Sus scrofa: one gene and its partners. The protein of the gene in region 1 purifies or fractionates together with the protein of each later gene. This does not show direct contact. Links are inferred from orthologs where the notes say so. Each region holds a gene or a part of one and is shown in the gene's direction. Other genes may lie near its edges. The genes, in order: AP2M1, MEA1, CLTC, NECAP2, NUMB, RALBP1 and NECAP1.

Region 1 (3,708 bases):
CAAGCAAGAGGTACCTAAGGCAGGGGAGCTGGTGGGAAAGGGTGGACCGTGGAATGCAGAGCAGCGCCTGGTGATCACAAGTTCCTTCATTTCTGCATTGATGCAAACTCCCTTTTCCCCAGGTTGTGCTTGGCTGGTTGCTCTTAGTATCTGCTTAAAAGAGATAGGGGATTGTCTTCATTCTACTCAGTAACCCCTTGGTTTGGTCCTGAGGTCCAAAGGTCCAAGACTCTTCTCTACATACTGATGGCCTTTGCCTGCCCAGTATGCCTAAAACTGAGTTCTGAGCAGCAGAGCTCTCAAAAGATGATGAGTTTGTAAAGCTCTCACTCATCCCTAACTCTGGAACAGGGACTGCCCCCTCCCAAGTCAGAAAGCTGCATTATGGCAGCTTTCCATAGACTACAGTGCAAGCCTCATCCAGGTTCTGGCAGCCTCTGGGGGTGGGGTAGTCTCCCAGCCCAACTCTGCTGCCACTCTCCTGTACCAATGAGGAGACCTTCTGCCCTTGCTTGCAGCGGGAAGCAATCAATTGCCATTGATGACTGCACCTTCCACCAGTGTGTTCGACTCAGCAAGTTTGACTCTGAACGCAGCATCAGCTTCATCCCACCAGATGGAGAATTTGAGCTCATGAGGTGCCAGTGGGGTGTGAGGAACAGGGGGTCCTGTTGGCAGAGAGGGGGGAAAGGGTAGAGGACAGGCTCTGCTATGCCAGCCTAAAGGTATTGCATCTCTGAAGGTATCGCACCACCAAGGACATCATCCTTCCCTTCCGAGTGATCCCGCTAGTTCGGGAAGTGGGGCGCACCAAGCTGGAGGTCAAGGTGGTCATTAAGTCCAACTTCAAGCCCTCACTACTGGCTCAGAAGATTGAGGTGAGGATAAGGAACATGGGGAGGAGGAAGCATCTCTCTTCAGCAATAAAGGCAGCTGATGTCAGTGCTTGGCAGCGCTCGCTGACAGGTGTGTCACTTCTAGGTGAGGATCCCAACCCCACTGAACACCAGCGGGGTGCAGGTGATCTGCATGAAGGGGAAGGCTAAGTACAAGGCCAGCGAGAACGCCATCGTGTGGAAGTGAGTCTTTCCTTCTTGAGGCCACAGCAGGGCTCCAAATGCCTTGGTGTACCCTGTTAAGTTTCCCCTTTCATCCTTTGTGTGTGTGTGGCAGGGGGTGGGGAGTGATTGTTTCTCCAGGGACCTCTGCTTGTGTCGTCACCCCTTACAGCTCTGTGTGAGTGTACATATCACTGGGGCGAGTTTATGCATTTATCAAGTTTCTTTAACATTTCCCAGTTTGCCCTTGTCCTATCTCTGTGAAGTAGATGGAGCAAGGGATAGCATGGTCATGTGTCTAAACTGCAGTGCACAGTGCTAAAGGAGTAACAGACCCGAGGTTTCACAGCAGGAGGTTATCAGAGTCCTCATCATGTTTCCTTGCCTTAGCACTTCCCACAAGCTGCTGGGTTCTCTTCCCTGCCACCTCCCAACCTCCCAAAGGGGAACCACCCTGATCCCGGAAGCTCCTCCAAGCTCTTAGGGGCACCTACTACCTGTTGCCCCTCTGTTTCCAGGATCAAGCGCATGGCAGGCATGAAGGAATCACAGATCAGCGCTGAGATTGAGCTTCTGCCCACCAATGACAAGAAGAAATGGGCTCGACCCCCCATTTCGATGAACTTTGAGGTATGGCAGGGAAGGGGCCTAGAACCATGGCAGGGTGTGCTAGGAAAAACCTTAGAGATCATTCGGATCAAGCTCAGTATTTATCACTTTGCAGATGAGGAAGCTGAGGCCCAGAGAGAAGTAACCTCAATTCCTAGACCTATTCCTTCCCCACTCAGGCCTCCTACTAGAAATTTCTATTTAGACAAAAATCTTTGATTTCATTTATTTGGCTTGTCATAAAACAATTATTAGGGAAAATGTAGATTACTTCCATGACAAGTAAGACACAAAGTTTACTTAGAGACAGGAAAGCGGGCTGACTTTGCTTTGTGCATGATGGACATGTAATTTTCTCCACCTTACTGTTTAAGTCCATAATATTGAGCAGGATAAGTATGTTCGAAGGCAAGTCTTTGATTACTGCCGCTGCTGATTAAAGGAACTGATCTTTAAGTTGTCACAGGCAGAGCTTGACTTCAAACCCAAATGATTGCAAGTTACTCTTGGATATGCTATCTTTAGTAACCTCTCAGAGGACCCCTCAGCACCCCAGCTTCCCCAAGGGCCCCAAAGATTCAAACACCTGTAGTAGAGATGAGGTAGGGCAGGGCTATGAGGAGAGGAGCTATGAAAGGGAGGCCACATTCCTAACTGGAGCTGTCCCTTGCCCAGGTGCCATTCGCGCCTTCTGGCCTCAAGGTGCGCTACTTGAAGGTGTTTGAACCGAAGCTGAACTACAGCGACCACGATGTCATCAAATGGGTGCGCTACATTGGCCGCAGTGGCATTTATGAGACCCGCTGCTAGCTGCCTAGTGACAGCTAGCCCGTCTCCCCACCCACCCTCTTCCACAGGTCTGGGTGCCCTCGGCCACCACACATCAGTGTCTCCTCCCTCCTGCTTTGCTGCCTTCCCTTTGCACCAGCCCCTGAGTCTAGGTCTGGACCAACCATGTTGCAAGCGGGACTGGTGGAACAGTCCCTGGGCTCCCTGGGCAGGGTGGTTTCTGAGGCTCCTGCTCTTCCATCCATCTGCCAGCCCTGGCCCAATGCCAGGCTCTGAGTTCTGTGACCAAAGTCAGATGGGCCCCTTCTCCTCCCCTCCCCTATGGCCACATCTCTCTGGAGTGGGAGGGTTGGCTGCCCCTCACCTCGGAGCTCCCCCAAAGGCCAGTAACGGATCCCCAGCCCTCAATTCCTACTCTGCTTTGGGCTAGTGTGAGCTTCATTTTGTACACTTGTGACTTCGTCCAGTTATAAACCCAATAAACTCTGTAGAACGGAGTTGCTGGCCAAGTGTTGATGTGGTGGCTACATGGGGAGGGGATCTGGTGGGACCGCTTCCTTCCTGTCTTAAAAGGACTGTCTTGAGCAGAATTTCGTTTCTAAACTCTCTTCCTTTGTCAAGGCTCAACTGCTAGGGCCATCCAAGCCCTTATCCTGACAGGTATTAGCTCCAGGTCTCCTCTGAGAAATAGCCTCAAGGGCAGGCAGCCCCACCTGACACCGTGCCACTCAATTCCTTGAGGGTAGAGATTCTTTTCCTAAAATCAGCCTCAGCTTTATTTTAGGCAGGTATTTCTCTATTGGCAGAGATTAAGCAGGGTTTACAGTTGGTCTTTCCAGCCATCCTTAGAAACTAACCTCTCAATTCCATCCTCTTCCCAGGCCTCTTAACAAAATTCCTCCCTTCTATGCCTCCCCCTCTCCAGAGCATTGTGTGCAAATAAGCAAGTCTCTAATGGAGTTTTCTTTATTCTGCTCAGGTGTTGGAGCAGATAAAGATGTGCCATCACCAGTTTTCCCTTGCTTGGTCTTAGCCTTTTTAAACCTAAAATATCTGTTAGAGAAATTTTTCAAACAAACAGAAATAGAAAATATATAATGAACCCCATGTCCCATCATGATGTTTCAACTTGTGGTCAATTCTTTAATATCACATCCAGTCTGTGTTCATGCTTATTAATCCAAGTGTCCTACAGAATTTCTCACAGCTTATATCTGGATCCAAACAAGGTCCATTTTGATTGGTGATTGCT
Region 2 (4,719 bases), on another chromosome or scaffold:
TCTGCTCCCTGTTCAAGAAGCCCTGGCAGAGAGAAGAGCTAGCCCGAACCTCAGGCACAGAAAAAGCTCAAGTAAAGGAAGGTCCCTTGCAAGAAAGACACAGGGCTTTGAGCTGGCTTGCCAGACCCCTGCCCCCACCCAACTTCCCCCAACCCTCCCCCACTCTGCCAAACCTGAAATAGCCCCAGCAGGAAACCACTCTCACTTCATTACTCCCGTCCTCAATCCAAAAGCTCTTGGATCTGGGCTTGTGGGGACAGATAGGAAGGAAGTTGGAGAGCTTAAGAATGGGGGTCCTTCCTCTTCCCTCACAGCTTCTACTCTCCTCTTCAGCTATATCAAGGTAAAGTAAAGAATTCACTGGGCAAGAGGGAAGCAATTCCATCCAAAGGTAGAGGAAAAAACCCTCAGCGTCTTCTCCAAAGGACAACTCAAGCTCATGAAAGACAAGCCCCAGCATCTCCCGGGCGCCTCTGATCCCTGGGGCTCTCCCGTCCGTGCTCCATCACTGCGGCATTCTCCAGCTTCTTCCATGCCTTTCAGAGACCTGCCCCCCTTCCTATTCTCTTGCAATTTTCACTCTCCGTTTCTGGCCTTTTCAGATCTCTTGAGAGCTTTGCAGTTTTCTGCTTTTTCCTTCTCCCACAACTCCAAGCTCCACCCCGACAGCCTTCCATTTTCCTTCTTTCGATAGGGGGGAAACAAGCTAACATCCCCTGACCCCTTTCGGCCAGAGATATTCCTCCCTGTATATGACGCTATCCGGGTCTTCTTCCAGTCATTCCAACCTCCCTGCCCCCACAACACCAGACACCCCCGCCCTTTTCTTCCATTATCCTCAGCTTTCCCATTCTCCTCCTAACCCAGTCTTCCTTCCAGTTCCCTTCAGTGCCTTCTCCAGTTACCAGGTCTCTCCCATCGCTTTCCCCACCATCCTCCCCCAGCCCTTCTTTCCCCCTTAACACTCTCCTTTCCCGTCATCCCCCTCCCCACCCCCACCTCATCGGTCTCCGGCCCCTCCCCCACAATTCAGCTCTAGGCATCGGCGTCCCCATCCCCTATGATTTTCCTCGTCCCTCAACCCACCACGGGCTACCTGCCAGGCCGGGCCGGGGCGGGGCCGCGGGTCCTCGCGCTGCCTGCAGCTTTGAACCCGTTGCCCGCCAACTGCCGACTGGATCTCCAACGAGATAAACACAGCCAGGCTCGGTCCTTCCGGCGGGCAGCTGTAAGCGCACGTGCATTCAGCTCTAAGTGCCGGAAGTCTACCGGGATTTGTAGTCCATCGGTTTCGGGAGGAACGCGAGGGGCTGAAGGATGGGCAGGAGTCGGAGGAGTCTGCGCATGTGCTTATACCTATCAAACACCGCGGGGCCGAGTTCGCGTTGCGGCTCAGTGGTAACGAACCTGACTAGTATCCAAGAGGATGAGGGTTCGATCCCTGGCCCCGCTCAGTGGGTTAAGGATCCGGCCTTGCCACGAGCTGCAGTGTTGGTAACAGACGCGGCTCGGATCCCGTGTTGCTGTGGCTGTGGTGTAGGCCGGGCAGCTGTAGCTCCGATTCAACCCCTAGCCTGGGGACTTCCATATGCTACACAGGCGGCCCTAAAATTAAAAAAAACAAAACAAAACAAAACAAAACCAAACACAAACAACCGCGGGGCCTACCGGGTAATGTAGTCCTTTGTTTGGCGAGAAGATGGTGGAGGCGGAGCAAGGGGCGGACCCTTCGCCTTCACTCGTGTCAATCATGAGCGCGGCGGGGCGGGGCTGGAGGACGGGGCCGCCTCGGAACGTCCTGCCTCGCCGGAAGTGAAGGTGCGGGGTTCGGCCGCGGGCTCTGAGCGGGTGAGGCGCGCGCAAATACCGGCGCCGAGAATTGGTGGGGGCGGGTCGGGGACGCCACATCTGGGGCCATTTGAAGGGATCTCCTGGGGTCCGAAGGGCGTTTATCAGGCGGTACAGAGGGAAATCCCTTAGAGAGGAGAGAAGGGGGCGGGTATGCCTTGTCTAGGGGAGCTTGTTTGGTGACCCGGAGTTCCTAAGTGGATGGGGCGGGGGGGAGGGCGTTCCCGAAGGGGTGTCTTTTGGAAGGTGGCATGGCCTTCGCTTGGGCTGTTATTTAAGAATTGTCGGAGCAAGGCAAGTGGGCCTTGGTTGGAGATAAGAGCCAGCTCAAGAGGTGGAGAGTCCAGGAGAGGTGTTGTGGGGTGCAGGAAACTTGGGCGTTTCAATGTTTTGTGGGCGCAGGAGGAGACCGCACGGGACTGGATGACAGGCTAAAGCTGGGCCTAATTTTGTCTGATCTCTGTTCTCCTGTCTCCATGTTCTTGCAGCCCCTGCCCGATGGCAGCAGTAGTTCTAGGGGGAGACATCATGGGTCCTGAACGTATCTTCCCCAATCAGACTGAAGAACTCGGGCCACACCAGGGCCCTACAGAAGGCACTGGGGATTGGAGCAGTGAGGAGCCAGAGGAAGAGCAAGAGGAAACAGGAACAGGCCCAGCTGGCTACTCCTACCAGCCCCTGAACCAAGATCCTGAACAAGAGGAGGTGGAGCTGGCACCAGTGGGAGATGGAGAAGATGTAGTTGCTGATATCCAGGATCGAATCCAGGTATGGTGGAGGAGGCATTGTTCCTGAACAGGTGAAGCTGGAATCCCTGAAGGGATGACCCTGAACTGTCTTCTCTGGCTCTGCAGGCCTTGGGGCTTCATTTGCCAGACCCCCCATTAGAAAGTGAGGATGAAGATGAAGAGGGAGCTACAGCATTGAGCAACCACAGCTCTATTCCCATGGACCCAGGTAAAAGAGTTTTTTTTTTTTTTTCTTTTTAGGGCCACACCCACAGCATATGGAGAATCCCAGGCTAGGGGCCCAATTGGAGCTGTAGCCACAGGCCTATGCCAGAGCCATAGCAACTTGGGATCCAAGCCACATCTACGACCTACACCACAGCTCACGGCAACACGGGATCCTTAACCCACGAGTGAGGCCAGGGATCGAACTTGTGTCCTCATGGATGCTAGTTGGGTTTGTTAACCGCTGGGCCACAACGGAAACTCCAAGAGATCGTTCTTTTATTCTGGAATAATTACGGAGGAAGGGAACTGGTTAGAGCCAGTAGAGGGGAGTCACAGAGGATCACCCTGTTCCTAAAGCAGCAGTTTGTGGTAAGTTTGCAAACTTGAGAATCCAGGTGAAATGCTTTTCTTAGACTTGTTGTGGGGCGGTAGGGGGGGGTGGTGCAGGCTTGCTTAGGAATCACAAGATGACTTCAGTGTCCCAAAAGCTCTGGGTTCCTTTAGCCAAAGGAGAGGGGAACGGGTCCATTGTTTCTATTCCCTAACTGGTCTCTGCCTGTGATTTCAGAACACGTAGAGCTGGTGAAAAGGACCATGGCTGGAGTAAGCCTGCCTGCGCCAGGGGTTCCTGCCTGGGCTCGGGAGATATCAGATGCCCAATGGGAAGATGTGGTACAGAAGGCCCTCCAAGCCCGGCAGGCCACCCCTGCCTGGAAGTGACCACCCTGAGGCTGCCTTATCTCCCTGCATTCGAGGCCAGAACCAGCACAGGACTGAACGCATCCTGGTTGTAGTGTCCATCTCCATCCTCCCCACCTCCCTCTCCACATCAAGGCAAATCAGACGTCTTCTCAGAGACCCACTTTATTCAGTTCTGTACATATGGGGACATCCACCCAGGCCCAACCCACCTTAGCATGTATCACTCTGTGGAGAATAAAGCACCCTATGTACACAGCCAGAAGCTGTGCTGCCTGTGCCCCTGGACCTCAAGCCCGGCCCTCCCCAGCGTCTTGTCCCTCCAGGGTGCCTGAAAGGGACAAGGGAGGGCCTGGCTAGCATCAGTACAAACAAGGAAATAAATAGGTGTTGGGGGGAGCCATGCTTGGGGCACTGCTCCCTGCTTCCTTCCTCCCGGCTTTGGCAACCAACACCATAGAGCAGTCAGCCCCAGGGTGGTCCCTTCTGTGTCAATGATCCCGGGGCTGCTGTTCACCCAAAAGGGGGCACAGGGTGGGGTGTTTGTTCATCCCTTTCTCTTGGTCCATCAGGGCTCCACATTCACCACCTCTTGTCCAGAGCCTATGCTTTCTCCCTTCTGCCCTCCCACGTTGTCTTGGTCAGGCAGAAGGTAAGAGGAAATAACGCACCCCCATCAGTTTGCGCACTGCCGGGGCTGGGGGCCTATTTGTGCCATCGGGGGTTGCTCCCCTGCAGCTAATCCACTCCAGGGACCAATGGGGCGACATAACTTTGGTGAGAATTGTCTCCCACTGCTCCCTATATGCCTGCAGGGGAGGGAGAGGAGGAGACACCTGGGGTGCCAAGGAGGCTGAAGGGAAGAGGGGAGGGGGCGTATATTCCTGTGTGTATTCTCAGAGCGGCCTCATGTAGCTGTGGGTGAGGAGCAGGAGGGGGCCAGGCGTCCCCAAGTTGTCTGAGCACTGAGCATCGCAGCGCACAGCCTCTGTACTAGCCGCGGGGAGGCATGAACACATGTGGGGGAGACAAGGGACCGCTCTGTGGGGGGGGTCCCTGCTTCAAGCGCCACACCCCCCTCCCTGGAGTAGAGAGGCACTGCCCTGCCCAGAGTCAGCCAGTGGGGAGCAGAGGGTGGAGGGCCGGGGCAGTGTCCCAGGGCCGAGTGGGCTGTGGCCCTGTGGCGGGGAGGTGAGGAGGTCAGAGAGCCTCCTGG
Region 3 (3,941 bases), on another chromosome or scaffold:
TCTGAAAACCAGTTTATAAGTCTTAAGCCTACTTGATATAATGTGCTATATATTTTGTAGTCTGCCATGGTATTTTAGAGAAGACATAATTTTTTCAGTATGGCTACTCGTCCTAATTAAGGATGAGACCTTATGACTTTTTGGAACTGAATTATTTTTTTAGTCCATTCCTGACATGACTAAGCAAAATAAAAAACACTCTTTCATTGACATTATTTGCTTTCTCTTGCCTTGCTCACTGATGGGCATCCTCAGACATTTTGAGTCAGAATGTTGTCATTCAACTTCTGAGCTGGATGTGATTAGAGAGACAACTTAGGTGTATACTTTTCCACCTGTGTTTAGAGTAGATGTGGGCAGAGAAGAACTTAATAAGTTAGAGTTCTGTTCGGAAACTTAAATTATAATTGGAAGCCGTGAGAAAGCCCCTTTGTGGGTGGTGTTTTACCATTCTCTGGCCTTAACTTAAGGTAGATTGAGGTGTGATTGTTGGAGTTATTCAAATTTTTTTTTTACCTTGAAACAATACACATTCATAGGAAACTGCAAAGACAGTACAGAGAGAGAGAGAGAGATCTTATGTCCTTTACCTGGCTTCCTCCAGCAGTTACATCTTACATTGCTATGTAGTACACCAGAAAAACCAGAAGTTGACTTTGGTATAATTATCATTGAGTAGATTCAAGATATATACTATTCCGTCACCACAAATATTTCTCTTTTGCTACCACTTCTTCCTCACTGTCTCTAACCCCTGATCACTAATTTACCCTCCATTTAGAATTTTGTCTTCTCCAAAATGCTATATAGATAGACTCATGTAGTATGTGATCTTTTGAGAGTGGCCTTTTTTTCTGTTGTTCCCACTGAGCTAATGTCTATGAAAGTTCATTTTATTACTGAGGAGTGTTCTGTGGTATGGTTGTACCATATAGTTAATATTCACCTATTATAGGACATTTTGGTTGTTTTTAGTTTGGGGCTTGCAAATAAAGCTGCTATGGTCCTTTGAGAAGTTGATTATGAGTTTTATTTTCTTTTGAACAGTTACATATTATTGAAGTTGGCACACCACCAACAGGGAACCAGCCCTTCCCAAAGAAGGCAGTGGATGTTTTCTTTCCTCCAGAAGCACAAAATGACTTTCCTGTTGCAATGCAGGTATTTTAAGCAAATCAAAAGGACTTGTTTTCTCTTTTATATAACGTATTAGTGTTCTTGTGTTTTATGTAAGTTCTGGGGCTCTCCCATATTTGAATTTACTGTAAAAATGAAGAGACCATAAATACTAGCTTTTAATTTTTCATAGAAGCCTCTTGTCAAAGTTCTAGAATTTCACCATCTCTAAAATGGAATTGGACTAAATTTTCTTTTTGTATGTTTCATTATTTTACTGAAGTGTTGATTTTCTTTGTACAGATAAGTGAGAAACATGATGTAGTATTCTTGATTACGAAGTATGGCTATATCCACCTCTATGATCTTGAGACTGGTACCTGCATCTACATGAATAGAATCAGTGGGGAAACAATCTTTGTTACTGCACCTCATGAAGCCACAGCTGGAATAATTGGAGTAAACAGAAAGGGACAAGTAAGGAAACCTTGAAAATTAAATTGTGATAAAATAAAATAGCACTTACTACTGTTAGCTTTAACTTTGAATGTCAGAAAATAATATATACCTAAATATGCAGAAGGATATGATAGAGTTTCTTGCTTTAACATTGTCTCAGGGTGAGAAACTGTTTGGCATATATTATAGCCTAGGATTGTGTTTATGTCTCTATTATCAAAAGAAGTGGCGCTTCATGCAAAAACTATTACAGTCACATTTGACTGACTATACTTTTTATAGTGGGTTATCCTCATATGGTCTCTAAGACAGGTTATCAACTACAAGGAAAAGAATTCTTCTTACCTCTTTTTTTCCTCACTCTTTAAGTAATTACTAAATTTTTGTTCATTTTTTGTTTTTTCATGTTTTTTTGGCCATGATATGCAGTGGCTTGATGTGGGATCTCAGTTCCCAGACCTGGGATCAAACCAGGCTGAAGCAGTGAACATGCCAAGTCCTAACCACCTGACCGCCAGGAAACTCCCTGTTACTACATGTTCAGTGTTGGAAGATGATATGTTACAATAGCTTTTGTAGGGTAATTGAAAAGTTACCTTTTGTCACATTTCACAAACCGCTTCACACCATCTAACACAAGTGATCGTTTTTATATGTTTTCTTAGTATTTTATATGTTAAAGTATTCTCTCAGGAGATACTTTTTCCTCTAAAAATATGGTAAACTTTTCAAAAACAAGCTGTTAATTGATCTTGCTTTTTACTAGTTTTCCTTCAAATTAGTATTTTTCCTAGTTTGTAAGCAAAAGAAGTAGATAGGTTTTTTTCCCCTCCTTTATTCTGTTAATTTCCAGAAAATGGTATGTATATGATGAGAGAAATACTCTAGAGAAAGAGTCTTTTCCTACTTATCCATGCCTTACTTCAACTCCATACCCGGTTAGGTGTTTCTCCACTAAGACCCTAGATCTTAGGTAGCCGTCCTCATGGCATTTATCACGACGAATTATGGGTGCTTGATTAACTGCATCAGTTGCTATTCTCCCTTAGGAAAGGAGCTTTTCTTTTTTTAATTGTATTTCTACACCAGTCATTGTCTGGCACAAAAGCGACTTTAAAAATTCATTAGCTTTCATTTATTCAGTTGTGTGTGTCTCTCTTGGAAAAATCAAGAGTGTATTATTGGACTTTTGCTGAACTAGGTTAGTGATAATTTTATGATCATAAAGTTGTTAAGCCAGAGACTATTTTTCCCTCCTATGCTGATGTTTTGTTTTTATTTTGTTAGTTTGTTTTAATTTTATTTTATGGCTGCACCCACAGCATACGGAATAATTCCTAGGCCAAGGGTTGAATCCGAGCTTCTTAACCCACTGTGACAGTGGGTACTCCCTATGCTGATAATTTTAAGATAATATTTAAATTAAAGTATTGTGACTGATCTTACCATACATATTTAATGTTCATTTGATTCTGTGACCTTACTGTTTCCCTTCTCTTCCCACCACAAATTTTCTGTGCCACCTGTCTTGAGTAAGAAGATGGGGGCTTATAGTAACCTTTAGGCCTCAGGACTTTTTTCACTGTTTAAATCAGAGCCAGGGAGTTCCCGTTGTGGTGCAGCGGAAACAATCCGACTAGTGACCATGATGTTATGGGTTAAACTCCTGACCTCACTCAGTGGGTTAAGGATCTGGCATTGCCATGAGCTGTGGTGCAGGTTGCACATGCTGCTCAGATCCTGTGATGCTGTGGCTCTGGCGTAGGCCTGCAGCTGTAACTCGGATTCAGTCCCTAGCCTGGGAACTTCCATATGCGGCAGATGCAGCCCTAAAAAGCAAATAAATAAATCAGAGCCAACTGCTACTGGACCGATGCCTTGAAGGAATGAGTATGTGATTTCTATTGGTTGAAAAATCAAAAGGGATGAAGATGACATTATTGCCACTATCTTGCTTAAATTCTGAACTTGGTAGAACTGAGTACTTTAGAAGATATAGGAACATCGTTAAGTACTGGTTACTAGAAATGGGTCTAAAAGTGGAATAAAGATGAAAATATGGATTTGGTATTTGGGGAAGACTATAGGAAGTATAGTTAGAAGTGGGTTTGTTTCCTTACTTCCCTTTGGAGTTAACTATTAAAGGTGGAAATCAGGTATGCAAATGACTATAAGGAAAGTCTCTCTTTAAAAAAAAGTATATCTGGGGAGTTCCCGTTGTGGCGCAGTGGTTAACGAATCCGACTAGGAACCATGAGGTTGCGGGTTCGGTCCTTGCCCTTGCTCAGTGGGTTAACGATCTGGCGTTGCCGTGAACTATGGTGTAGGTTGCAGACGCGGCTCGAATCCCGTGTTGCTGTGGCTCT
Region 4 (4,551 bases), on another chromosome or scaffold:
CTGCATGATTCTAAGTATATGAAGTATTTGGAACAGGCAAATTCATATACAGGAAGTAAAACAGATTCCCAGAGGCTGGGGGTAGCAGGAAAAATGAGGTTTTTTGCTTAATGGGTATAGGGTGTCCGTCTGGGATGATGAAAAGTTCTGGAAATAGACAGTAGTGATAGTTATATCACATTGTGAATGTACTTAATTTTGCTGAATTAGACACTTAAAATGGTTAAATGGTAGTTTGTTATTTTTGTTTGTTTGTTTTTTGCTTTTCAGGGCTGCACCTGCAGCATATAGAAGTTTCCAAGCTAGGGGTCCAATCAGAGCTGCAGCTGCCGGCCTACACCACAGCCACAGCAAAGCCAGATCTGAACTGCCTCTGTGACCTACACCACAGCTCACAGCAAGGCCAGATCCTTAACCCACTGAGCAAGGCCAGGGATCGAACCCACATCCTCATACATACCAGTCAAGTTCGTTACTGCTGGGCCACGATGGGAACTCCAAGGTTATGTATATTTTATCACAATAGTTTTTTAAAACTTAAGACAATAGACCAATCCTGTAATAAACAGCTTACCTAGAGTGAGTAAAAAGGGCAGGGGGAGAGAGAGAGTAGAGGGAAGAAAGAGATGGAGAAAATTTGGGAGCATTCAGTGAACCAAAGATTTGCGATCAGCTGTGCCTCACATAGGATCTGGCATATTATAAGCACTGAATTATATACTTGTGTAATGAATGAGAGAATTGTAAAGGATGATACAGGATTTTGAGAATTTGACTCTGATTAGACATTGTATCTCCTATCACATTCTGTGAGAAATCCAAGTTAAGACCAAGATACTTTTTTTGTTTGTTTGTTTGCTTTTCAGGACTGCACTCACGGCATATGGAAGTTTCCACGCTAGGGGTCGAATTGGAGCTGCAGCTGCCAGTCTACACCACAGCCACAGCAACGCAGGATCCGAGCCACGTCTGCAACCTATGCCACAGGTCATGGCAACGCCAGATCCTTAACCCACTGGGCAAAACCAGGGATCAAACCTGCATCCTCCTGGATACTAGTCCATTTCTTTACCTCTAAGCCACAATGAGAACTCCCTCACATATGGGCTAGGATAAGGGTGGCAGAGTAGGGACATTGCACTTTGCTGGTGGGTCAGGTAAGGATTTTTCTAGAAGAAAGAGCCTCAATCATGTTTTACAGGGTCAGATGATGGGAGGACATCCAGGAAGAGCAGAAGGAAGCAAAGTCTGGGAGAACCCAGAGGTGTTAGGGTGAGCTGTCTAGGTAGCTACAGCTTTGAATCTCAACCAACTGGACGCTAGGTTGGAGGTGATAGGGATGACAATGAGACAACGGATTGCAGTGGGTTCTGTATTGAATTTTCTCTGCAGTCCTCCAGACAGCCCTTGTCTTCTTGTGATAGATGCCTGTGTCTGTCCGCCGCATGTCTTGAGCCAGGGCCTCCAGCAGAGGGCGCGCGGGCGACGAACCGCTGAGGTGCACGAACTGCCTCTCTAGCCCGAGGCGGGTCATAGAGTCGCGCGGCTTCCTCCCCGCCGCGGGGAAGGAGCCGGAAGTCCCGCGGTCTCCCGGCGTCGAGATGGAGGAAGGAGGCTACGAGTCGGTTCTCTGTGTCAAGCCTGAGGTGCACGTCTACCGCATCCCGCCGCGGGCCACCAACCGTGGTTACAGGTGACCACCCGCCGCCGGGCCAGGCTGGTCACAGCCTAACCCCATCCCTGCCTCCCCGACACGCCCCCCTATGGGAGCTGAGGAAGTTCCAGGCTATTGGGAGGAGGGGGGAAGTAATGCTGAGGTTTCTTCCAGTTCGAGGCCAGAGCAGGGAGGGGGACCCAGACTTTTCGGCTGTCTCAGTCCGACGCACGGGGCTCCCGGCCGTGGGGAAGGCATGAAAGCCGTGTCTAGCGCTGGGGGACGCCGGTGGGCTGTTGGGGCCCCTAAACGTGGTCAGGAGTGGTGGTGTCATAGACGTTTATTTTCCAGCGCTGATGGCCTTGAAGGGATCCCTGAAAAGGCTTAAGAGGGAGGGGCCCCATCCGTGGCAGAAACCCCGAGGGGAAGGAAGGGAGCCCCGAACCGCCCCAAGGACCCGTCCCGGAGAGCTGACGTTGAAAGCCCAAGGACTCTTCCTTGGCGCGAAGCCCAGCCGTTATCACAGCCTGTGGCACTTGGGAGGAATCCATCCACATTTGTCTGGTGAAATGTTCACCTGAGCCAAATCAATACATAAGTATTTGTGGATGTAGGGTATGTGGCAGGGAAGACAGGAAACTGGCCCAAGGAGAACAACAGGGGTGGGGCGGGGGTGGGGGTGGAAGGAGACGTCCTTTCCTTGTTTACCTTTTTGTGTTGTTTACATGTTGTCACCATGTATCAAAAGAAGAAAAATATTAAAAGAAAAAAAGATGTACCTGATACAGACAACCCGGTCTATGGCTATTTTGTGCCACTGGGAGTGGGGCGGGGTGGGAGGGAGGTGGTGGATGGGGTTCTTGAAGACAGTGTTTGTCCAAGTTATTTGGAAAGACCGGATTGGCCTGTGCCACAACGACCATGGAGTGTCCACCTACCTGGCCTCTCATTACTTTCCAGTTGTGTTAACACGGGCTCATACTGATTTTATGGTGAACAGACGTGTTCTTGAAGACCTTTGGCATCCACGACATAGTTTAAAAATATGAAAGCAACGGTAGCAACAACAACAAACGCGTATTTGCTTTCTGTCGTCAAACGGGATATGGGCCACCAAACCAGGGATGGTCGTCTACCCCCCATCCCCTTCCTTAGGATGAGTTTGGTCCTTCTTGGTCCCCCAGGGATCAAAGTTACCAAATGTTAGGGCTGGCCATGTTGACTTAGAGGACACTGCCAGCCCCTGCACTTCAGCCTTAGAGCTCTGCCCCCCTTGAGTCTAAGGCCTCTTGCCCCGGGAAGAGGAACTGAAACTGAGTCTGCTGACTTGTGAGTCGAGCCTCTGCGTTTGTGTGGACTTCAAAACAACCTGCGTCCACAGTATGGTGTCTTTCCGAGTCCTGGCATATGCTTAGGGACTTCCAAGAAAAGCCTCTTGGAAACACCCGAGGTTTTTGCTCTTTGGGGGCTTTACTGAGCTCCTTCTTAGAACTAAAATGTCACGTTTATGCTTTAAAGGAGCCAAAAGGGGCCATTGTGATCGGTCCATGGTTTCCTTGGTTTATTTCTTCTTGGGATACCTTTGAGAATATGTTTCTTGAACACTCATTCACTTTGCTCATATGTCCTGTTGCTCTCTTCTCTCTTTTCTTCCACAGTGGTCTCAGTGGTCCCAAAAGATCACTCTGACCACCACAGCCTGACAGAGTCTTAAACAAATCATGTGTCCCAGTAGCTGCTTGCTTTACAGAAGGAAAACTGGAATCCTGCTCCAGAGAAGGTCTCTATAATCTAGAATTGGGGTTGGCAAACGATGACCCACTGTGGTTTTTTTTGGCTCACAAGCTAAGAATGATTTTTGCAATTCAGACTGTCCGTAAAGTTTCACTGAAACATAGTCATGCTCCGTAGAAAATATTTGGTTAAAATACTTAAAGCATCGACAGTTTCATGCACTGTCACGGCTTTCCCTCTGCAGCAGCAGAGTGAGTAGCTGGGACAGAGATCGTGTAAAAGTTTGCCAGCCCCTGGTCTAGAGCAGGCAGCCCGCATGCCCTTCCCATTCCCGTCCCCAGCAGGAGCCTCTGGCAGAGGCACAATGGCTTTTGTCCCTGTAGGGCTTCGGAGTGGCAGCTGGACCAGCCATCATGGAGTGGCCGGCTGCGGATCACTGCAAAAGGGCAGGTGGCCTACATCAAGCTCGAGGACAGGACCTCAGGTAAAGGCAAGGGAGGCCTGCGAGGAGGGGCTGAGGTCTCAGACCTCCCACTTTGTGAAGGGAGAGGCAGCCCAGGCCTGGCCAGGCCAAGCCACCCAGGGACCGTGGGACCCTGTCCTGAAATTCAAAGGCCTGGGTGTCCTTATAAGCCACCTCCATTCCCCCGACCTTCAGTTTAAAAGGGAGTATTTCCTGTCAGGCACATGTTCTTTGGATGTCCTTAAGAAAATACTAATTTTGGAGGCCAGGGAGAAAAGACCTGCGGGTTGGTCCACATAGGAAGCCCTGGAAGATAAGCTGGGTGAAGACGCCCAGCCCCCTGCTGCTGAGCTCAGCTTCTTCCTCGGGAATCCTGCTTATCGGCTAACTGGTAACTTCCCAGACTGACCACACCTATTAACTGAAAGAGCTGGAAACTGCCCTCTCAGCTCTTTTGTGGTGAGAGAAGCCAAGATGGGCTGTGCTGGGGTCAGCTGGCAGTTGTCACCTTTGGTGAAATCGCTCCGGAAGTCCTGCAGCCCCAGTGCCTCTGGGTGAGTGGAGGGCAACATGGTCTGCGGTAGCCCCGATCCCCCTGCCCACACACACACATGCCCACCCAGAGCAGGGATTGGTGCGGTAAGATGTCCCAGCTTTCAGTCATTTATTTTTTCTAATGTGTAGAGATTTTCCTTTGTGG
Region 5 (3,941 bases), on another chromosome or scaffold:
ATTCAGTGGGTTAAGGATCTGGTATTGCCATGAGCTGTGGTGTAGGTTGCAGACTCGGCTCGGATCCCACGTTGCTGTGGCTCTGGTGTAGGCCAGCAGCTACAGCTCCAATTAGACCCCTAGCCTGGGAACCTCCATATGCCGCAGGAGAGGCCCTAGGAAAAAAACAAAAATAACTAAATAAAGTCCAGACAAAATAAGGCAGTATAGCCATTCTGCATTCATGGAGGCTACAACTAAGTAACTCTTGCCAAGGTTTAACCTAGAAGGGAAGTGGTGGCCATACTCAATGCTGACCAAAAGGTTTTTTTAGTTTGGTTTTTTTTTTTTTTTTTTGTATTTTTGTATTTTCTAGGGCCTCACCCACGGCATATGGGGGTTCCCAGGCTAAGGGTCTAATTGGAGCTACAGCTGCTGGCCTACACCAGAGCCACAGCAATGCAGAATCCGAGAAGAGTCTGGGACCTACACCACAGCTCACAGCAATGCTAGATTCCCTAAGCCACTGAGCGAAGCCAGGGATCGAACCTGCAACCTCATGGTTCCTAGTCGGATTTTCATTTCCACTGCACCAGGACGGGAACTCCTAAAAGGGTTTTTTAAAGCAGTATATAAACAAACATTAGGAACTCAGGCTCTGAATCAGATATAGGTTCCAGTCCTGGTTCTGGTTCTTACTAACTGTGAGATTTGGGGCAGGTTATTTAGCGTTTTCTAGGTCTTAGTATCCACTTCTCTAAGATGGAGATAATAGGTGTGAAGACTGAATTTGGTCATGAGTATAAACACTCTTAACATAGTGCCTCCCTGTGGGAACTGCTCCAGAATAGTGGCTGATATTGTTAGAGCTGCTCCTCCTTGGTTTTGACACAAGTGCTTTGAGAATGAGTTGAAAGAACTAAACAACGCTTTCTTCCTATCAGACCTTAAGCCACAAAGCAGGGTATTTTGCTAACAGTGCACTCACAGAATCCAAAGAGTTCAAGATTTTCCCTATATTTTTTGGCAAATAATATAGTTCTGTTGGCAAATCATGGTTCTTCAAGCTCTTTGACTGTCCTAGGCCAGTGGTTCCCGTTTCAGAATCACCTTAAGAACTTGTTAAAATAGATGGCTTGGTCCCACCTGTAGTTTTTTTTTTTTTTTTTTTTTTTTTCACCTGCGGAGTTTTTCATTCAGTAGGTTTGAGATGGAGCTCAAGGGATCTGTTTCCAAGAACTTCTTCCCTAAGGCCTAGGAGAAATAATAAGCTAATTTGGCCTATAGTTGTGTCTTTGTAATAGGGCTGTGTTCAAATGCAGACAAGTTCTAAAATTCTTTCACTACCAGTACTCTCTCCTGTTTCACATTTCAATGCCTACCTTTTTATCATCCTACGAAGAAGTTAGACAGAAAGTCATATGAATTCATAAAGATTGAGTCTGTCAGTCTTTAAATAAGCAGTCATATAAGACCTTACAGTTTACAGTCAAATGAAGTCTTGGGAAAAAACATTGAAGACATTTACCTCCTCTTACAGTGTCTCTATATGGGCGTTTGAAGTCCAGTAAACTTACTCAGAAACATATGTAGGGGCAGCTGCTTACCTGATGTGATTTTGAAAACTCCACAAAGGGCTCCCTGTTCTCAAATCTCTTCTCACTGTTAAAGATGCCAACAGTTACTAGATCATCTCTAAATTTTAAAATTTCACAATTAGGGATAAAGTTTAAAATATAGGAATTCCCATCGCGGCACAGTGGAAACGAATCTGACTAGGAACCATCAGGTTGCGGGTTTGATCCCTGGCTTCACTCAGTGGGTTAAGGATCTGGCGTTGCCATGAGCTGTGGTGTTGGTCGCAAATGCAGCTCAGACCCTGCATTGCTATGGCTGTGGTGTAGGCCAGCAGCTATAGCTCCAGTTGGACCTGTAGCCTGGGAACCTCCATATGCCGTGGGTGTGGCCCTAAAAAGCAAAAAAATAAATAAATAAATAAAAATAAAATAAAATACAGGTAACCCTGGTAAAAATAAGCCACCAAGTTTATTAAATTTACTCTAGGCAATCCAATATATTTTTAAAACAATATTTAGTTTATATAAGCCCTCCACTTTTTCCACTCAGAAACAAATGAGATGTATCTGCATAATTCCTTTATAAATAGAAAGTGTGGATAACTTTCTACTTTTAACTCTTGCCTCTGTGTGGTTGGGAGTTAGAATTGGGGTTAGAGAATGCTAGAAGAAGATAGGAAAGGGAGTTCCCTTGTGGTTTAGTGGGTTAAAGATCTGGCATTGTCGCTGCTGTGGCGAAGGTTTGATCCCAGGCCTGGGAACTTCCACATGCCGTGGGTGCAGCCAAAGAAAAAAAGTAGAAGGTATGGGAGAGAGCTTGCAATCACCGAGGGCCCAAATGGGCCAGAGGGGAAGCACACAGAAAGGGAGGCTTGAGAAAACTAAACTTTCCTTTATCTCATTCCTTCTCATCACTAGATTTGTATTTATTAATCTGAAGTTTTAAGTTTACGCCTTTTGTCCCTAGACGTGTTGACAGTATATCTAAACCCTGATATTTGTCCTGGATTTGCAGTGGTTTTTTAGAAATGCTTGGTAAATATTCTTACTATTCCTCTAAAAAGCAAATAGAGGTTTGTGTGTCCAGACTTAGGGCTTGAAACCTTAACAATCTCTTCTAAGGAGGTGGCCAGAGCTAACGTGAGTGACAAAGGGACCTGACTGATAGGAAGTGTTGGTGGCTGCTCACAAAGCACAGGTTCTTGAGGGTCGCTTTACCCAGTGCCTCCTACCATAAAGGATCATAAGCATTTCCCAATATAATCATTCGTTTAAGCTTAATTCGGCATATTAACATACTAAACTCTAATTTTAAGCTGGAATTCCTAACATTTTGCCAGTGTGAAAACAGACTTATCTGTGACCCAAGATAATTTGTAATTGTTGACACCATAATTCTAAACTTTTTTAAACCTGTTATGTACAGGGTGAAAGACTGAGCCATGCAGTAGGCTGTGCTTTTGCAGCCTGTTTAGAACGTAAGCAGAAGCGGGAGAAAGAATGTGGAGTGACAGCTACTTTTGATGCCAGTCGGACCACTTTCACAAGAGAAGGATCCTTCCGTGTCACAACAGCCACCGAACAAGCAGAAAGAGAGGAGATTATGAAACAAATCCAAGATGCCAAAAAAGGTACAGTCTGTTCTGCTACAATGTGTGTTTATTTAAACAGTTTTCCCCAACAGGTTAATGTTTGGAAGCTATCGGGGCAAGGTTTTTCACAAAGAGAACTCTTAGCAAATGAAGACCTTCAGGACAAAGCTGAAAATCTAAACAAAGTCTTTTCCTTTAGAGTGGCTTCCGTTATGTTAAACTACCCAGGGAAGCTGAGAGTACAGTTGAAGAAGCTGCAAAGACATTTAAAAGTAAAATTGGGAAAACATGCATCCTGTAACAGATTTTTAATTCTGATGCATCTGATCTCTGTGAGGAGCAGATGCTATCAAGAACCTACATCTTGGAGTTCCCGTCATGGCTCAGTGGTTAACGAATCTGACTAGGAACCATGATGTTTCGGGTTCGATCCCTGGCCTTGCTCAGTGGGTCAAGGATCCGGTGTTGCCGTGACCTGTGGTGTAGGTCGCAGATGCAGCTCAGATCTGGCATTGCTGTGGCTGTGGTGTAGGCTGGCAGCTACAGCTTTAATTAGACCCCTAGCCTGGGAACCTCCATATGCCGCGAGTGCAGCCCTAGAAAAGACAAAAAGACCAAAAAAAAAAAAAACAAAAACAAAAACAAAACACCTACATCTTGAAGGAAAAAGTACAAGTCCCAGTTTTAAGCTGCGGAGAACCCACTGACAGTGCTACCAGGTGTAAATGCAGGCAGAGATTTCTCGGTGCTACTCTTCTTATTAGATTATTACTGTTAATTTAGTGCTTTAGGG
Region 6 (3,941 bases), on another chromosome or scaffold:
CTTAAGTTACATAAAAATAAACACATATAATGAATTTGAAATTTGACTTTTAAGAAAAATTTATGATGGATTTGTAAAGATCTGAACAATACTAACATAGCTGCTTCTCTCGTGATTTTGATAGGCATGAAGAAGTTTTGTTTTAGGCGAAGGATTCTGAAGAGGTCTTAGAGCTTTGTTCAAAGGGTTCTTTTGTCTTTGACCTATTTTTGATGTTTGCCCTCTTTCGGAGCCAGAGTTGTGAAACTCCTCTCTCCATGTGTCAGAGCATTCAAACTGAGCTGCTCCCCTGTTGGTTGGCTCCTTGGGGACTGAGCTTCTGCTTTGATCAATTTTGTATTTATTTTTGAAGCTCTGGCAGTGTGCTGTGTTCAGCCCTCTGTGGACTACAGAGTTATGGCTGTGACTTTTCTTTTTGAAGGCTGATAATACTGGTTTCTGCTAGAGAACTTTGGTTCTCATTTATTCACATGTAAGTTCCAGTTGTAAAACTAACAAATTTTGCTTATTGTCTTTCCGTACCTGGGACGCTGTATTTGAAGCGTCCAGTTTTTGCAGGGAAAACATGTTGATAACAAACCAAATTCTTACTCTAAATTGTTCACTGTGCAATCTTCTGAACAGGCATTGCTGGGGGAAAATTTGAAATCTGTGAAATATATATGCGAGAGAGGGAGGAGGTCTTTGTCAAGAATTTCTTTTCTTTTCCGTTTTAGGCTGCACCCATGGAATGTGGAAGTTTCCGGGCTGGGAGTCGAATCAGAACTGCAGCTGCTGACCTATACCACAGCCACAGCAATGCCAGATCTGAGCCACGTGGGCAACCTACACCACAGCTCACAGCAGTGCCGGGTCCTTAACCCACTGAGAGAGGCCAAGGATTGAACCCGGCTCCTCATGGATACTGGTTGGATTCTTAACCCACCGAGCCACAACAGGAACTCCAAGAATTTCAGTTAAAGTTAGGAGTCACCATGTGTTACTTATGAAAGTAGGAAAATAGGAATTAGTTTCTAACTTTCCTGCCTCAAGATAAAGATTGTGAAAAAAATAAGATTCATATTGTTGGAATTCCTCTTGTGGCACAGTGGGATAAGAATCTGACTGCAGTGGCTTGGGTTGCCGCGCAGATGAGAGTTCAGTCTCTGGCCTGGGGATTTCCATATGCCGAGGATGCCTCCATTAAAAAAAAGAAAAGATTCATATTGTTATTTTCATACTCAGAGTTGCTGATTTTATTTCACCAGTGCTGGATAAGTTACTGATGTATTGTGGTCCCATTGAAAGGTTTACACATAAGATAAGAAATTTCAGAGCCCAGAGGTAAGCATAGTTGATTATAAAATTCTCTTCAAATTAAATGACACTGGAGTGTCATTTACATTATAGTCTGTCAGCCTTAATTTGTGGCTTGTTTCCAGTAATTGGCCTGTTTTTGATTTTTTGCTGTTGTTTTTTATTTTTGTTTTGTCATTTTAGGGCCACACCCGTGGCATATGGAGGTTCCCAGGCTAGGGGTCCAATCCGAGCTGTAGCCTCCGGCCTACACCACGGCCACAGTAATGCCAGATCCAAGCTGCATCTTCGACCTACACCACAGCTCACGGCAACTCCGGATCCTTAACCCACTGAGCAGGCCAGGGATAGAACCTGAGTCCTCATGGACCCTAGTCAGATTCATCAACTCTGAGCCACAACAGGGAACTCCTTTTTTTTTTTTTTTAATTGACGCGTAGTTGATGTATAGTGTCATGTGTTTCAGGAGTACAACATGCTGATTCACTATTTTTTTATTTTTTTTATTTTTAATTTTTTTTAATTTTATTTTTTGTCTTTTTGCTATTTCTTTGGGCCGCTCCTGCGGCATATGGAGTTTCCCAGGCTAGGGGTTGAATCGGAGCTGTAGCCCCCGGCCTACGCCAGAGCCACAGCAACGCGGGATCTGAGCCCCATCTGCGACCTACACCACAGCTCACGGCAACGCCGGATCATTAACCCACTGAGCAAGGGCAGGGATCGAACCCGCAACCTCATGGTTCCTAGTCGAATTCGTTAACCACTATGCCGCGACGGGAACTCCTGATTCACTATTTTTAAATGTTGTGTTCCATTTATAGTTATTATAAAATGTTGGCTATATTCCTTTTGCTGTACAGTACAGTCCTTGTAGCTTATTTATTTTATGCGTGGTAGTTTGTACTTCTTAATCCCACCTGTATCTTGCCCCTCCCACCCCCTTTCCCCACTGGTACCACTGATTTGTTTTCTATATCTGTGAGTCTGTTTCTTTTTGTTATATTCACTACTTTGTTTTATCTTTTTAGATTCCACATATAAAGTATTTGTCTTCCTCTGACTTCATTTAGCATAACAACCTCTATCTAGGTCCATCTGTGCTATTACAAATGGTAGAATTTCATCCTTTTTTATAGCTGACCAGTAAATCTTGGCCTAAAGTTTTAAGTGTTAAAAACCACAGAAAGCTACTTTGTACTCATGAGCCATCACTGTCACTGAGTTAGGTCACTTAAGTGCAGATTGGGCTAAAGACTTAATTAAATAGTGTCTGAAAAACATTGGTGTATGTATGTTTCTTTCTGTCTACTAAGAAAAGCAAAACAATTCAATTTTAGTAACCCACATTTTCCTTTTTTTTTTGCTGGTTCCTAGGTTCAGATTAAGAAAACATGCAAAGAATTTAAACTTAAAAATCAGATGGGTATTATTTAATGAGGACCAACAAGAGTTTATATAGATAGTGAACTCACCTTTTGCATTTATTGAACAACTTTACCTTCTAAAAAAGTCATTACCAACAAGTTTTTGGAACAGGCTTACATGTACCAAGTTGCATTTTATGGTGTTAGTCTTGTGACTAGTTCGAAAAAGCAGTTGGCCCCTTGTGTAGAGCAAGGCTTATGCTTGGAGCATAGTTTAGTTTTTGCCAGAATTTGTACCTATCTTTAAGTTAAAAATTTTTTTTTTCCTGAATTGATTGGCATATTTGGTTGCTTTGATTTTTTTTTTCTGAATATTGAGTTTTTTCATTATCATTTCACTTTTGGTTAAAGTCAACCTCCTAGTATAGTCTTTTGTCTTCTCTATGGAGGAACTCTGTGCCGGTAAAAAGCCCCATTAGTGGTTTGTTACTGTCTTGGGGCCTCTTCTCAGACCTCCCTGGGGGGTGGGTGCTGTGGCAAAGGTGGCTGTATGTTTGATTTTTTTTTTCTCCTCTTGACACTTTCCTTCTCATCTGAATTGGAATGTTCTCAGGAATTAAATCCAAGGTGGATGAGCTGAAAGCAGCCTATGACAGAGAGGAGTCTCCCAACCTGGAGGAGTATGAGCCCAACACTGTGGCCAGTTTGCTGAAGCAGTACCTTCGGGACCTGCCTGAAAACCTGCTCACCAAGGAGCTCACGCCCCGCTTTGAGGAGGCCTGTGGGCGGAGCTCGGAGGGTGAGAAGGTACAGGAGCTCCAGCGTCTTTTGTGGGAGCTGCCCGAGTGTAACCAGCTCCTCATCTCCTGGCTCATCGTGCACATGGACCATGTGATCTCCAAGGAGCTGGAAACAAAAATGAACATCCAGAACATTTCTATAGTGCTCAGCCCAACTGTCCAGGTACACGGCCTCTCTGCACTCAAGCTGTGCACACGGGCCCTCTGGGCCAGCCCTGGGGTTTCGGGGACGCGTCCTGTTGCTGAGCCACACAGAGCAGTGAACCAGAGGCTTAGCCTGGATGTTGGTCTTTTTCTGTTACAGTGTGGACAGTGTTGACATGTCAGATAATGAGCATGTTGGCCTATTGGCTGTAGCTGTGAAATCTGCATATTGTCCCATCTTTGGTGTGGGTTTGTGAACCAGTTGCTGATGACAGTGAACTGTCCATAGAGGAGGAGGAGCCCACAGTATCTTCGGGTGACGGTGACCCGTTCATCT
Region 7 (3,941 bases), on another chromosome or scaffold:
AAAAGAACACAAGTTCAAGACATGGTAATTAAAGGTAGATGTAAATAAATCCAAATGTATATCTAACCAAAGAATTGAAACATATTGCCTGTTCTTTGTTTGTGGTGGCTTTTGGTTGGACTATCTTAAATCATCTATGTTTGTGGCAGTCATTATCTTTTCTCCATAGTCTATATCAGAGGTTGGCAAACTTTTTCTATAAAGACAAAGATAATAATATTTTAGGTTTTGTGGGCAAGTGGTTTCTTTGTAACTGCTTGTTTTTTTTTTGGCCTTTTAGGGCTGCAGCATGGGAAGTTCCCAGGCTAGGGGTCAAGTCGGAGTTGTAGCTGCTAGCTTACTTCACAACCACAGCGACATGGGATCCAAGCCGTGTCTGCAGCCTACACCACAGCTCACAGCAATGCTGGATCCTTAACCCACTGAGCAAGGCCAGGGATCGAACCTGCGTCCTTGTGGTTGGATTTGTTTCCGCTGTGCCACAACAGGGAACTCCTGTAGCTACTCAGTTCTGTTGCTATATTGTTTAAGCTGCCATGGATAGTATGTAAACAAATTTATGTGGCTGTGTTCCAGTTATTTACAAAAACAAGTTCTGGCAGCATTTGGCCTATAGGCTGTATGTAGTTTGTGGACCCCTGGTCTGTGAGAAAGTATTTCACATTTACGGATGGCTGTCTAGTTAGGGTAACGGTAATAATTTCCTTGGGCAGAGTTTGCCCCAAGGGATACTTCCTGTTCTGAGGATTCTGATTTTTTTTTCAACAGGGCGCAGTGCTTTCATTGGCATTGGCTTCACAGATCGAGGTGATGCCTTCGACTTTAATGTCTCCTTACAAGATCACTTCAAGTGAGTGAAGCTTGTTCTTAGCGACCAGGTTAAGTTTTTTGGGAATGCTCCTTCTCAGTTGAATGGACACTGTCTCTTTTACCTCTTGGTTTCTTTATTTGGTGAACTAGTTCATTTGCATATAACTCTTTCCATTCACTGTTTTCTCATGTTATCTTTGTGTCTGTTCTGTCCTTTCCTTATAGCTGGGATATGTTTTTAATTCCTGTACAGTGGCTTGAGGTGATGCTTTTGTTTATGCTCCTGGGGCATCCGCCATTGCTTTTAAGTGGCTGAGGGAGGCTTAGCAGTAACCGTAGGGCTGGGTGTGTGATATGTGGGGAGTTATGTGCCAGTTTTGTTATTCTTGTAGTTGGCATGTTTTGTGCCTTTTGCAGTATTCAGCCCATTTGATTTTGGCTCAGCTATGCTGGACAGCACCAGGTAGTCAGCTTCCTATCTCAAGGTCGGGGACACATCTCCTTTTCTGCTTCAGGACTTACTGAAATTGTGAAAGGGCACCTAGTTAGAAAGGGGGGGCAGCCTGGAACAACTGAGAAATTAACACCCCCTCAGGGGCAGCCCTTAGCCGTGGAGGATGGGAACTGGTGGCTAAATGCCCTCTTTTGGAGGGACAAGTTTAATATGCATTTTGTATGGTTCCTCAGTGGCATTGAATCCTAGTTGCCCTCTTTCTTGGCTTTTCTCTTTCCTTTATCATGTTTCATGTTCCTTTATGTGTTTCACATAAATTAGCTACACTCAGATTTGTGTGTCAGACTCTGCTTTCAGAGGATCCCAATTAAAACAACCTTCTTTTACTGAAGGTGGGTAAAGCAGGAATCTGAGATTTCCAAAGAATCTCAGGAAATGGACGCTCGTCCCAAGTTGGATCTGGGTTTCAAGGAAGGACAGACCATCAAGTTGAGTATTGGGGTGAGTATGGTTCTCCCATCCCTTCTTGTATTTTCATAAACCTGTGACTTTTCTTCTTCTTTTTTTTTTTTTTGGCTGTGTGCAGAATTCCCAGACCAGAGCCAGGGATTCAACCTGAGACACAGCTGTGACAATGCCAGATCCTTAACCACTGGGCCACCAAGGAGCTCTTGACCTCTCTTTTTCTTTCTCTCACTTTCTTTTTTTCTTTTGTAGAACATTACAACCAAGAAAGGAGGTGCTTCTAAGCCCAAGACTGCAGGGACTGGGGGCCTGAGCTTACTCCCACCGCCACCTGGAGGCAAGGTCACAATTCCCCCGCCGTCCTCTTCAGTTGCCATCAGCAATCATGTCACTCCACCACCCATACCAAAATCTAATCATGGAGGTAATGATGCAGGTGAATCTCTAGTATTTTTAATTTCGAAAAATCATATCTTAAGTTTTAATTGGGTAGTACCTGTTTGCCATGGAGAGTGTTGATGGTTTTGCTATTAAATGGCACTTGGGGAGTTCTCTTGTGACGCAGAGGGTCAAGGTTCCAGCGTTGTCACTGCAGCATCTTGGGTTGCTGCTGCGGCGTGGGCTCAATCTCTGACCTGGTAACTTCCACATGCCAGGGGTGCAGCCAGTAAATAAATAAATGGCACTTAGTACTGACAAGGTGATTTTGGCAGCCTTTAGGAAGGGATTAAAGCTTTTCTAGTGAGCTGAGAATTATAGTATCAGGTAGGTTCTTTGGCAGAAAATGAGTAGATATTAAGACTGTTTCCTTTGTTGTACCTTGGTGAAATGTTAGTAGGCTTGAGAGTCAGATGGCCAAGATTTTGGTCACAGCTCTGCTTTATATCTGAATGTGTTTGGTAACATTGTTTAAGTTCTTTGAGTCTCAGTATTAATTACCTGTAAAATGGATATATAAAACTACCCCAAGACTGTGAGGATGAAGTGATGTGATGGCACCCAGCACAGTACTTATATATATAGTAGCCATTCAGTGGATGTTATTTCATAATCCTTTCTGTTTCTCTACAAGGGCAGTTGAGAGGAAATAAGATAACATCTGGGTTTATGAACACATTTTCATTTTTCCTTACTATCTGGTAGGACAAAGGAATAGATACAGTTTTTTCCATTTAAAGGATGCAAAATTAGAACTCAGAAAGGAATTTCCTAAGATTAGGGAACCAAATATTAGAATCTGGACATTTTAACTTATTAACTAATTATATTTTAATATTTGTTTTACATTGTGTCATTAATAATTGTATCATTTATAATTGATTGCTAAGAGTAGACTTTCTTTTTCTGGAATTTTTGAGGTAAAAGTGGTTATAGGCTACTTTTTTTTTTTTTTTTCCTTTTCCTTTTTGGCTGCACCTGTGGGCCAGAGAGCAAATCAAGGCCACAGCAGGGACAGTGCTGGATCCTTAACCCACTGAGCCACCAGGCAACTCCAGGCTACTTCTTCATCTTCTTTTTTTTTTCTTTTCTTTTTTTTTTTTTTGGCCACACCTGCAGCCATATGGAAGTTCCCAGGCCAGAGATCAAAGTTCCTCAGTTGTGACCTACAGCAGGAGTTGAGGCAACACCAGGTCCTTAATCCACTTTTCCACAGCAGGAACTCCTCCAGGTTACTTCTTTTGATAAGTGTTGCCAGAAGTCACTGAGATATCTGAGATTTGTTTTGTTTTTTTAAATTAAACTTTTTATTTTGAGGTAATTATAGATTCACATGTAATTGTAAAAAATAATACAAAGAAATCCCATGTACCTTTTCCCAGTTACCCTCGTTTTTTTTTGTTTTTGTTTTTGTTTTTTTTGTCTTTTTGCTATTTCTTGGCCGCCCCTGCGGCATATGGAGGTTCCCAGGCTAGGAGTTGAATCGGAGCAGTAGCCACCGGCCTACGCCAGAGCCACAGCAACGCGGGATCCGAGCCGTGTCTGCAACCTACACCACAGCTCACGGCAACGCCGGATCGTTAACCCACTGAGCAAGGGCAGGGACCGAACCCGCAACCTCATGGTTCCTAGTCGGATTCGTTAACCACTGCGCCACGACGGGAACTCCCAGTTACCCTCGTTTTGTACAACCATGGTTGAACATCGCAACTAGGAAATTGACATTGATACCATATATTTACTTAGACTTCATCATTTTTACGTGTTCTCATTT

The links.
Region 2: the proteins of AP2M1 (region 1) and MEA1 purify together in Homo sapiens (affinity purification with mass spectrometry; 3 studies listed by BioGRID and IntAct, counting the BioPlex papers as one, with this or other methods). This does not show direct contact. The link is inferred for Sus scrofa from reciprocal best matches to the Homo sapiens genes AP2M1 and MEA1.
Region 3: the proteins of AP2M1 (region 1) and CLTC purify together in Homo sapiens (affinity purification with mass spectrometry; 3 studies listed by BioGRID and IntAct, with this or other methods). This does not show direct contact. The link is inferred for Sus scrofa from reciprocal best matches to the Homo sapiens genes AP2M1 and CLTC.
Region 4: the proteins of AP2M1 (region 1) and NECAP2 purify together in Homo sapiens (affinity purification with mass spectrometry; 4 studies listed by BioGRID and IntAct, counting the BioPlex papers as one, with this or other methods). This does not show direct contact. The link is inferred for Sus scrofa from reciprocal best matches to the Homo sapiens genes AP2M1 and NECAP2.
Region 5: the proteins of AP2M1 (region 1) and NUMB purify together in Homo sapiens (affinity purification with mass spectrometry; 3 studies listed by BioGRID and IntAct, counting the BioPlex papers as one, with this or other methods). This does not show direct contact. The link is inferred for Sus scrofa from reciprocal best matches to the Homo sapiens genes AP2M1 and NUMB.
Region 6: the proteins of AP2M1 (region 1) and RALBP1 purify together in Homo sapiens (affinity purification with mass spectrometry; 3 studies listed by BioGRID and IntAct, counting the BioPlex papers as one, with this or other methods). This does not show direct contact. The link is inferred for Sus scrofa from reciprocal best matches to the Homo sapiens genes AP2M1 and RALBP1.
Region 7: the proteins of AP2M1 (region 1) and NECAP1 purify together in Homo sapiens (affinity purification with mass spectrometry; 3 studies listed by BioGRID and IntAct, counting the BioPlex papers as one, with this or other methods). This does not show direct contact. The link is inferred for Sus scrofa from reciprocal best matches to the Homo sapiens genes AP2M1 and NECAP1.

The regions. Positions count from the first base shown.
Region 1 is NC_010455.5:122,100,456-122,104,163, forward strand, and holds the end of AP2M1 (AP-2 complex subunit mu), read left to right. Parts: coding exon 1-10; intron 11-518; coding exon 519-638; intron 639-742; coding exon 743-878; intron 879-981; coding exon 982-1,079; intron 1,080-1,576; coding exon 1,577-1,688; intron 1,689-2,342; coding exon 2,343-2,477; 3' UTR 2,478-2,953; downstream 2,954-3,708.
Region 2 is NC_010449.5:38,077,354-38,082,072, reverse strand, and holds MEA1 (male-enhanced antigen 1), read left to right. Parts: upstream 1-1,812; 5' UTR 1,813-1,848; exon of another isoform or gene 1,849-1,959; intron 1,960-2,253; 5' UTR 2,254-2,346; coding exon 2,347-2,616; intron 2,617-2,702; coding exon 2,703-2,805; intron 2,806-3,372; coding exon 3,373-3,524; 3' UTR 3,525-4,181; downstream 4,182-4,719. Other genes in the region: PPP2R5D (serine/threonine-protein phosphatase 2A 56 kDa regulatory subunit delta isoform), read right to left, coding at 4,704-4,719. UniProt on the Homo sapiens protein: May play an important role in spermatogenesis and/or testis development.
Region 3 is NC_010454.4:35,876,690-35,880,630, forward strand, and holds part of CLTC (clathrin heavy chain 1), read left to right. Parts: intron 1-1,047; coding exon 1,048-1,161; intron 1,162-1,419; coding exon 1,420-1,593; intron 1,594-3,941. UniProt on the Homo sapiens protein: Clathrin is the major protein of the polyhedral coat of coated pits and vesicles. Two different adapter protein complexes link the clathrin lattice either to the plasma membrane or to the trans-Golgi network.
Region 4 is NC_010448.4:75,525,642-75,530,192, forward strand, and holds the start of NECAP2 (adaptin ear-binding coat-associated protein 2), read left to right. Parts: upstream 1-1,534; 5' UTR 1,535-1,601; coding exon 1,602-1,693; intron 1,694-3,771; coding exon 3,772-3,872; intron 3,873-4,551. Other genes in the region: SPATA21 (spermatogenesis-associated protein 21), read right to left, coding at 1,403-1,534. UniProt on the Homo sapiens protein: Involved in endocytosis.
Region 5 is NC_010449.5:96,634,543-96,638,483, reverse strand, and holds part of NUMB (protein numb homolog), read left to right. Parts: intron 1-2,982; coding exon 2,983-3,187; intron 3,188-3,941. UniProt on the Homo sapiens protein: Regulates clathrin-mediated receptor endocytosis. Plays a role in the process of neurogenesis.
Region 6 is NC_010448.4:98,567,720-98,571,660, reverse strand, and holds part of RALBP1 (ralA-binding protein 1), read left to right. Parts: intron 1-3,273; coding exon 3,274-3,623; intron 3,624-3,941. UniProt on the Homo sapiens protein: Multifunctional protein that functions as a downstream effector of RALA and RALB. As a GTPase-activating protein/GAP can inactivate CDC42 and RAC1 by stimulating their GTPase activity.
Region 7 is NC_010447.5:63,128,680-63,132,620, forward strand, and holds part of NECAP1 (adaptin ear-binding coat-associated protein 1), read left to right. Parts: intron 1-768; coding exon 769-850; intron 851-1,656; coding exon 1,657-1,765; intron 1,766-1,981; coding exon 1,982-2,165; intron 2,166-3,941. UniProt on the Homo sapiens protein: Involved in endocytosis.